Rattus norvegicus: one gene and its partner. The protein of the gene in region 1 interacts with the protein of each later gene in a pairwise test. Links are inferred from orthologs where the notes say so. Each region holds a gene or a part of one and is shown on either strand. Other genes may lie near its edges. The genes, in order: Foxr1 and Ppcdc.

Region 1 (4,606 bases):
CTGATTTTGTCTATGTAAGCTAATATCTGTTTTTAGGAAATACTAAGGTGTTTCTAGGTAAAAGGATATTCTGTTGACAAATTACTAAATGACTCATTACAAATGATATACTTTTAAGGGCTGGAGATGTAACTCAGTGGTAAAGCAGTTGCCTGGCTTACCTAAGGCCCTGGATTCTATTCCCATCATTGATCAGCCATCAGTTAATTAAAGAAAACCAGAACAGGGAACTGGATGTGGCAGTATACACTTTTAATCCCAGCACCCTAGGGGCAGAGGCAGGTGGATCTATTTGAATTTGAGGCCAGCCTTGTCTACATTGGGAATTCCTGGATAGAGAGACAGTGTCTCAAACAAAGAAAAAGAAGAGAGAAGAAAAGAAAGGAAAATATCTACTGAGGATTTGTAAGATGAACCAGTGGATAAAGGCACTTGCCCCCAAATCTGACAATCTGAGTTTATCCCTGGGACCCAATGATTGAAGATGAGAACCAACTGCCCCAGGTTGTCCCCCGACCTCCTCACTAGCACCGTGGCATGCTCACATGCATTCACACCCATAAAATAAATGGACTGTAACATATATGTAAAAGTGTGTATAAGGAGCTGAGCATGATGGTACATACCTGTAATCTTTTTTTAAATGATTTACTTTGAATTTTACGAGCAGGGGTTGGGGATTTAGCTCAGTAAAGCGCTTGCCTAGCAAGCACAAGGCCCTAGGTTCGGTCCCCAGCTCCGGAAAAAAAAAAAAAGGTCGAATTTTACGAGCATTGGTCATCTTGTCTCTGTGTGTGTCCGTGTAAGTGTGTTGAATCCCCTGGAACAGGAGTTACAGACAGTTGTGAGCTGTCATGTGGGTGCTGGGACTTGAACTGGGATCCTCTAGGAATAGTAGCAGCCAGCGCTCTTCACCACCGAGCCATCTCTCCAGCCCTGCACATCTGGAATCTTGGGAAGTAGATGAAAGAAGCTCGAGATTTCCCAGCTACTCTCAGTACACAGAGTTCAAAGTCCAGCTGCTATGAGCCTATTTTCAACAAACTGAAAAGAAATATATGTGTATACGTGCATATGTACAGAGACGCTTACGGGCTGAGATATTATAGTTGTACGGTACAGCACTTGCCTAGCACGTACCAGGCCCACCCGTTCCCGGAACTGAGAAAAATAAACGGATAAATGAATAAAAGGTTAATAAGGATGTAAAGTAGATAGCTATAAAGTTTTTTCTGTAAATTTGAAGTTAAAAAAAAAAGGGGGGGTTGGGGATTTAGCTCAGTGGTAGAGCGCTTGCCTAGCAAGCGCAAGGCCCTGGGTTCGGTCCCCAGCTCCGAAAAAAAGAAGAAAAAAAAAAAAAAACAAAAAAAATTTAAACCAGTTTGCTATTTAATTTAATCTCTGCTCTACTACCTACTGAGTCATCCTGTTTTTTTCCTCGTCATTCATTTATTTGTTTCTGTTCTTTTATAGTTTATGTTTTTGAGACAAGATTTCTGTGTATAGCCTCCTGAAACTAACTCTGTAGGCCTTGAACTCCCAGAGATCTGCCTGCCTCTGCCTCCAGAGTGCTGGGATTAAAGGCCTGAATTGCGCCCACACTCCCTGCTCCTTTTTTTTTTTTTTTCCTTAAAAAAAAAAAAAAAAAAAAAAAAAAAAACCTTTGCTGGTCTAGCAACCTGCACCACCACGCCCCCGCATTTAAACTCCTCCTCCATCCCCTCCATTCCCTAGCCCACCCACCCAGAGATCCTCCCCCTCGAGCCCAGTTTGCTTGGGTAGTTTAGGGTAACCTTGAATTTGTGCTTCCGCCAAGTGTAATTGATTCTAGGAATGTAGCTCGAAATCTGTTTTTAGGGGGTGTGGGCTTCGAACTTGCTCGACAGGCACTCAAGCAGCTGAGCCACATCCGCAGACGCAGGAAAACCTGGTGAGCGCGAGCTGGGTGGATCCTGAGGCAATCCGGAGTGTCTGCAGGGGCGCTGCGCTCCTGACCGTTCCCACCCGCGACTCCCCGCGGTTTGAGGACGCACTTTCCACGCAAGCGAGTCTCTCCGCCTCCTGCACCCCGCACTACTGGTCTCCTCTATCCTTAAAAGTGGACCCCAAAATCCAGGACCGGGACTTCTGGGCCAGCCTCCATGGCCAGGTCCCGGGCTTGTTGGACTGGGATATGGGCAATGAGTGCTTCTTGTCCTTCACCACGTCACACCTGTCGGAGGCCGAGCAGAAACGTGAGTGGGGCTGTGGGGGAGGGGCGCGTGGGTGGCTGCGGCATCCAGTGGGTGGACCGCCTCTGGCTTCCCAGGCTCGCCACTTCACTGGGATCAGGGTCTCGAATCCCACGCAGGCGTGTGTGTGGCCCTACCGCAACTGAGTTCCCAGAGTCCACATATTGTGGGCTACAGCTCATATCCCATCACCCCCAGAACATTCCTAGACCTCGTCTGAGCTTTGGCGCTTGCGCATGAGAACTTGGCATGCCGCAGGCTTTAGTTTTCGGTGTGAAAACAATCACTGTTCTCTTTGGGGAGGTAATCCTTGCGTCTTTGGTTGTTGCTATTTATGTTTTTGTTTTGAAACCCAGGTTTGCCTCAAGTCTTAACAGTTGACCTACTGGTGCTCTAGGCATGGGCCACCATCCCGGGATGCTAGCCCACCTCTCGTTTTATCTGTAGTACAAGATGGAGTTAATAGTGCCAACAGGATGGTGGACCTGTTCTTTTTAAGTTTTTCTTCGTCCTTGAACCGAAAGTTCAAGTTTTAGGTGATCACTCTTGTTTTTTTTGTTTTTTTGTTTGTTTGTTTGTTTTTCCTTTTTCTTTTTTTCGGAGCTGGGGACAGAACTCACTCTTGCTTTTAAAGTGTGTTGATTTTTTTTTCCCCAGTGCAAGGTCGTTGGGTTAACGTTACTCTCCCCACTTCAGTTAGTCAGATCTGTCATTTCCACGTCCACATATAAATGTCTTATTCTTCAGAAGCTGAGACTGGAGTGATTGAGCCCAGGAGTTCTAGACCAGCCTAAAGGTGTCTTGTGCAAGGCCCTACTCTTTGTTTCTGGACACGTTTGTGTATTGTTTTGTTTTGAGACAGGTTCTCACCCTTGAAGCATTGGGTTGAGTCCAGAACTCTAGATCAGGCTGGAGTTCCTGGCTTGGGGCTGTTTATCTAAACAGGAAGAGTAGACAGATGTCAGGGCATGGGGTTCTGGGGAGAAGTGTGATTGGTGACACGTGTTGAGTGGCTTTGGTATATGGTTAGAATTTAAGAGTAACAACAGTTGGACCAAGGCTGAATCCAGTGTAGAGACTGAGGAAACAGATAACCATCCCCAAGAAGACAGCCCAGTATAAAAACAGTGGTAGAGCCTACAGAACCCGGCTGATACGGTGTTACAAGGACTGAGATCGAGAGATGGGCAGGAGGGTCTGGAGGTCAGGATTATCCTTGGCTTCAGCAGGACTCAAGGGCTGCTTGGACTAGAAACTATTGCCCTCCCCTTCCCCCAAATGAAGGAATAAAGGGGGTCAACAAAGGGAAATGGGGTAAATCTGATCAAATACATTATTGTGTGTGTGTGTGTGTGTGTGTGTGTGTGTGTGTGTGTGTGAGAGAGAGAGAGAGAGAGAGAGAGAGAGAGACAGAGACAGAGACAGAGACAGAGACAGACACAATGCCCTAACATTTTCTTTTGTTGTTTTGAGACCGGGTCTCACTGTATGACGGAGATCTTACCATAGGACACATGTGAAAGTCAGGACATCCTATAGGAGTCTGGTCATTCTATTTTGAGGTCAAACTCAAATTGGCAGGCCAGACAGCAAGCCCTGTGACTCACTGAACCATCTCATAGGCTCCAATAGGCTTTTACATCCTCTAAAGGTGCTGTACAATTTTTGCATTCCAAATGTAATCCTTCCACCTCAGACTCGCAAGGGCTGGGACTATATAACCCTATACAAACCCCCTTGGCTTTACTATGTTTTTATGTCCATCAAAATTGTCAGATAAGTTTTTGTGCCCCAAATTCACAATCTTCCTGCTCTCGACTCCTACTACTGGGGTTACAGGTGTGTGCTCTTACAGACAGGTTTATCAATCAAAGTTATTGTGCCTCTTTTTTCTTTTTTTCGGAGCTGGGGACCGAACCCAGGGCCTTGCGCTTGCTAGGCAAGCACTCTACCACTGAGCTAAATCCCCAACCCCTGTGCCTCTTTTTTTGTTCGTTTGTTGGTTGGTTGTTGGTTGGTTCTTCAAGACAGGGTTTCTTGGTATGTGATTGCATCCCTGGCAATCCTAGAACTGGCCTTGAACTCAGAGATCCACCAGCCTCTGCCTCCCAAGTACTGGGATTAAAGCCCTGCACCACCATACTGGATAAATCAAATATTTTAACACAATCCAATCCAAATATACATCAACTGGACACTCACATACCATAGGATGATGTCGTAAAGTCATAAACCTTCGAAGCTGGGCACAGTATTACACCAGCAGTCAGAGGCAGACGAGTCTATGAATTCAATGCCAGCCTGGTCTACATAGCAAGTTATAGGCCAGCCAGGATTACATGACGAGACACCCCCCTCCATCTCAATACAGTCTT
Region 2 (4,338 bases), about 13 Mb from region 1:
TGGGGACCGAACCCAGGGCCTTGTGCTTGCTAGGCAAGCGCTCTACCACTGAGCTAAATCCCCAGCCCCTGTTCTTGCATCATTTGACTGAAGAAGGACAATAGGGTCGAGGTTTGAGGATCGACAGGTAAGTTTTTCTGGAGATTCAAAAATGTGCCTTTTAACAAGCATGGGGGCTCACTCCTTTAATCTCAAAGTCAGAGGCAGGCGGATCTTGGTGAGTTTGAGGCCAGCCTGGTCTACAAAGTGAGTTCCAGGACAGCCAGGGCTCTGTTACCCAGAGAAATCTGTCTCGAAAAACCAAACCAAACCAAACCAAAAAGAAAAAAAAAAAAAAAAAGGATGTGCTTCTTATGGGGCTGGAGACATGGCTCTTGTACTGCTCTTGCAGAGGACCCAAGTTCTGTTCCTATCGCCTGTGTGTACACCCATGTCAGGAAGCCCACAACTGCGCAGAACTCCAACTTCCAGGTGACCGGATGCTTCTGGCCTATGAGAGCATCTGCACTCAAGTTCATATACTCTCTCTCTCACACACACATAATTTAAAAATAATTAACAACAGAACCCAAACGTGCCTCTCACCTACTAATGATGTGCTCTGGGAGAAGCTGGCGGTAGGTCCCATGGACTCTGTCAGTTGTTAACAGTGCTCTTCAGATTTTGGGTGGACTCATTTCTCTAACAGGCCTGGTCCTGGGTGAGGCTATGAATTGTAGCAAGGGTTCTTTGGCATTGGTGGTGGGGCTAGGGTAGAAAGAAGGCTCAGTGGTTAAGAGAGAGCTCTGCTCTTGTAGAGGACCTTGGTTCAGTTTTCTAGACCCACATGGCAGGTCATAACCATCTATTACTCCAATTCCAGAGAACCGGACACCCTCTTCTGGCCATTGTGGGCACTTTACACAAGTGAAGGACAGACATGCATACAGTCAAAATACCACACACATGAGACATACATGCAGTCAAAATACCACACACAGTGCTGACATACATGAACAGTGCCTGCACACATGAACAGTGCCCACACACATGAACAGTGAATATGTAAAGTAAATCTTTAAAAAGTGCTGAGCAAGGTAAACTTTACGAATAGGAGTTGTACCTAGAGAACTAATTTGTGCTTACCCCCTTTGAGAAGGGTACTCTGTATCACCTCAGCTCTTATGGATATATGACTGAATGCTGTGGCAATTGCAAGTGGCAGACAGCCCCATGTGGTTACCTAGGCTTGGAGGGAGCTGGAGCTACTGGGTTCTCCTTCTATGGCTGACCTTGACCTTTTGGAGTACATCTTCTACGACAACATTTTGTCTTGCAGAAAGAGCCACTTACCATTGCTTTTGGCATACACTCAGGCTGTATTGCAGGAGGCTTCAGAAATCAACTGTTCCCATGTCTTTCATATGAGCAAAGAGTTTGGGGGAGGGAATGATCCCTGCTCAAGATCACACACCAGATCAGGAGAACAGCCCTGGACAGGACCTGGACTCCTGCTTCACAGGGCAGGTACAGTGCAGTTTATTCTTCCGGCAGATAACCAGGACTGTGACAGTGAGGGACATGGTGGGTGGTGGTTAATCTGGTCATCTGGTCAACCCAGAGAGATGGCTGGTAGGGGAAGAAGCAAAGGCAAAGGAAACTGATGTCTGAACCGTGAGAGACCCTTGACAAGGTTCAGTGGAGAAAAGGGCGCCCCCCAGATCCATCCACAGAGTCTGTAAAAGCAGCAGTGTTGTCTTCCACACTTTGCTGCCCAGGGTTTGGTCCTCAGTGACTATGGCTGATGGAGTGAGGTGTGCTGGCCCAGCCGCCAGGGTAGAGTTTTGATGTGAGCATCAGCCACAGCATCAGAAGCTGGAGGAGGAGCCCAGGCAGCTGCTCCTGTGGAGTGGCCCACTGCTTTGTATTCGACTGTTAGAAGTCAGTTTGTATTTCGGAGCTCAACAGAGGCAAGTCTCCTGCCTCCAGATGCACTCCCCATTGCCTGTGGCTCCAGTTTACTGGCATCCTTGTACCTTGTCTTCTCTCTGTCTGCTTCACCAGCCAGCCAGGCACACCGCAGTAACTCCCCGGTCTCCACCACTCACCACGGCCCTCTCACATTGACAGCACTCACATCGCTTTCTTACATCAAAGCACCCCATTACAACCCCACTTGTCCCTCCTACCCTTCTCAGGACTCTTCAGCTTCTCTCTTAACCTACCCTGTGTTTTCTGCCATTCTCCTTCAGACCTCTCCGCTTTGCAGGGTCATTCCATTTGAAGTAACTTCCTCCTGCCTGAAACAGTGCTCATCCTTCAGACTCAGCCTGAATGATAACCTTTACGTGACACAATCTGAGACAGTCTCTGGGCAGCCATGGCATAGGCATCGAATGGAGAGGAGGCCTGATTTGGTCCTCCCACTATGTGTTACCAGAAGCTGGGAATGTTTTGCCCAGAGCAACCCCAGCATCTAGATGGCCTAGGGCATACCACATGCAGCTTGTTTTATGACTGAATGAAGAGGGTGCCCTTTATTCTGTTTTAGATTCTTCTCAGCTCCCAGAAAGCCACCAGATCCCGCATGGAACCAGAGGCCCCATGCCCAGCCTCCATACCCTCAGTGGAGAGAAAGTTCCATGTTCTTGTGGGTGTCACTGGAAGCGTTGCTGCGCTGAAGCTGCCTCTTCTGGTATCAAAGCTTTTGGACATTCCTGGGGTGAGTATCCTCTCAAGATAAATGTAGTGGCTTCTGGCACTAAGGAATCGCCTCTTCTGGGGCAAACTCGTTTCTGCAGATGTATTTTTCCCTTAATCCTGGTGTGTTAGAGGGAGATCCTCTGTGTGTGCTGGCGTGTGAGGCACACAGGAGACAGACGAGTGTACAAGATAAGCACAAGTTAGATTGAGATACTGTAGGTGGGGCACGAGAGACGGGGAGGGAGCCACGACCCCACACACTGACCCTGAGGGTTCATGAAGTCCTCTGGTCTTGAGAAGGGCAGAAGAGTCTCAGCACCCCTCATTCCCCTGCTCCCGCTCTCATTCCTCCCTGAACGCCAGGCTCGGGTCTCCGTCCTTGGTCTGACACTTTGCTTGTCTCAAACGTACTGAGCTCTCCAGGGGCTGCTCTTGTTCCAAGCCCAGTTCCCTCCAGTGTTCTTAGATACTCCAGAAGCCACTCCTGTGTGGTGGGATGGGAGATTTTTTTTCACCCTGTTTTTGGCCAGGCCACCTCAACTTTGACTAGTTTTATATCTGAGGGTTCAGGAGCAGAAATTCAAAGACTGAAATATGATCAGCTCCAGCAGGTAGATGCGTCATTTCCGCAGAATCCTCTGTGGGTCTGTGTAGCCTCCTGCTGTTCCTGTGTTCTATCTAATGACCGTTGCTGTGGGTTACCTCCTACAGATAACTGCCCCTTTCTCTTCACTCTTCAAGTCTGTATGAACCCCCAACTCACACATACCTTTCCTGCCTGTCCCAGCCTGGGTGGTTTTATTTTCTCCTAAACTTACTTGACATAGAGCCTAGGCTGCGTTGGTCCTGCATGTGTTAATCCAGCACTAGTTTTGTGGGGGCACACATTAAGACACTGAGGTTCCTTTTCCTTCCTTGTGTCTGAATAGCCCCTGATGTGGGACCGCCTAGGTGGCTGTATCCTGCATGTCCAGCAGAGGGCGCTTCTCTCACACAAATGACTGATGTGGGTCCTTCCAGTCCGGGACTGGAAAACCTTGTTTCTTTCTTTCTACCAACTTCTACCGCGAATGTTACCTCCTCTCCAAGTCCCTCCCTGCCCCCAGGCTGAAATAAGCGATGACGATGCCAACTGTGCACAGTCAGGAGAAGAGAGATTCTCATGGCCGCTCTCTGTTTCATGTGCCCCAGAGCTGTTGCTAGAAGCTGATCAGATAGAGCCCGAGACAGAAGGCCTGGAAAGGGGCTCTGACGTAGTCACTGCCCCCTGGGGAGACAGGCGCTCAAACAGTCCGTTTTCCCATAGCCCCAGAGCAAGTGAGTTTCCGGGTAGGGGGATGGGGGTAGGGAGTCCTATCCCAGGACACAGATGGGCAGCCTCAGAGCACAAGGGAATGGTAACACCACTTCCTCCCAGCCCATGCATGTGTGGGGGTGTAAGGAAAGGGCTGCTGGCAGGGTGGTGGCTCCACCTACCCCAGGCTTTCTTAGCCTGGGCCCCTGGGAGGGAGGACAGGCTGTGTCTGGAACAGGCCTTGGCCCGTTCTTTCTCTGGCTGGGGTTGGAGCCCAAGTGAGGCAGCCAGAGGGCACTGAACTGTGGAGGCCTCTCCTTCACTTGACTCTTGAGAGCTGGCCTTTCTTGTTTCCAGTAGGG

What was found.
Region 2: the proteins of Foxr1 (region 1) and Ppcdc interact in binary tests that used the Homo sapiens proteins (3 or more experiments, as listed by UniProt). The two-hybrid records come from large-scale screens. The link is inferred for Rattus norvegicus from reciprocal best matches to the Homo sapiens genes FOXR1 and PPCDC.

What each region holds. Positions count from the first base shown.
Region 1 is NC_086026.1:53,662,998-53,667,603, reverse strand, and holds the start of Foxr1 (forkhead box protein R1), read left to right. Parts: upstream 1-1,732; 5' UTR 1,733-2,173; coding exon 2,174-2,234; intron 2,235-2,274; exon of another isoform or gene 2,275-4,606. UniProt on the Homo sapiens protein: Transcription factor which acts as both an activator and a repressor.
Region 2 is NC_086026.1:66,731,777-66,736,114, reverse strand, and holds the start of Ppcdc (phosphopantothenoylcysteine decarboxylase), read left to right. Parts: upstream 1-1,426; 5' UTR 1,427-1,428; coding exon 1,429-1,506; intron 1,507-2,530; coding exon 2,531-2,701; intron 2,702-3,810; exon of another isoform or gene 3,811-3,999; intron 4,000-4,338. UniProt on the Homo sapiens protein: Catalyzes the decarboxylation of the cysteine moiety of 4-phosphopantothenoylcysteine to form 4'-phosphopantotheine and this reaction forms part of the biosynthesis of coenzyme A.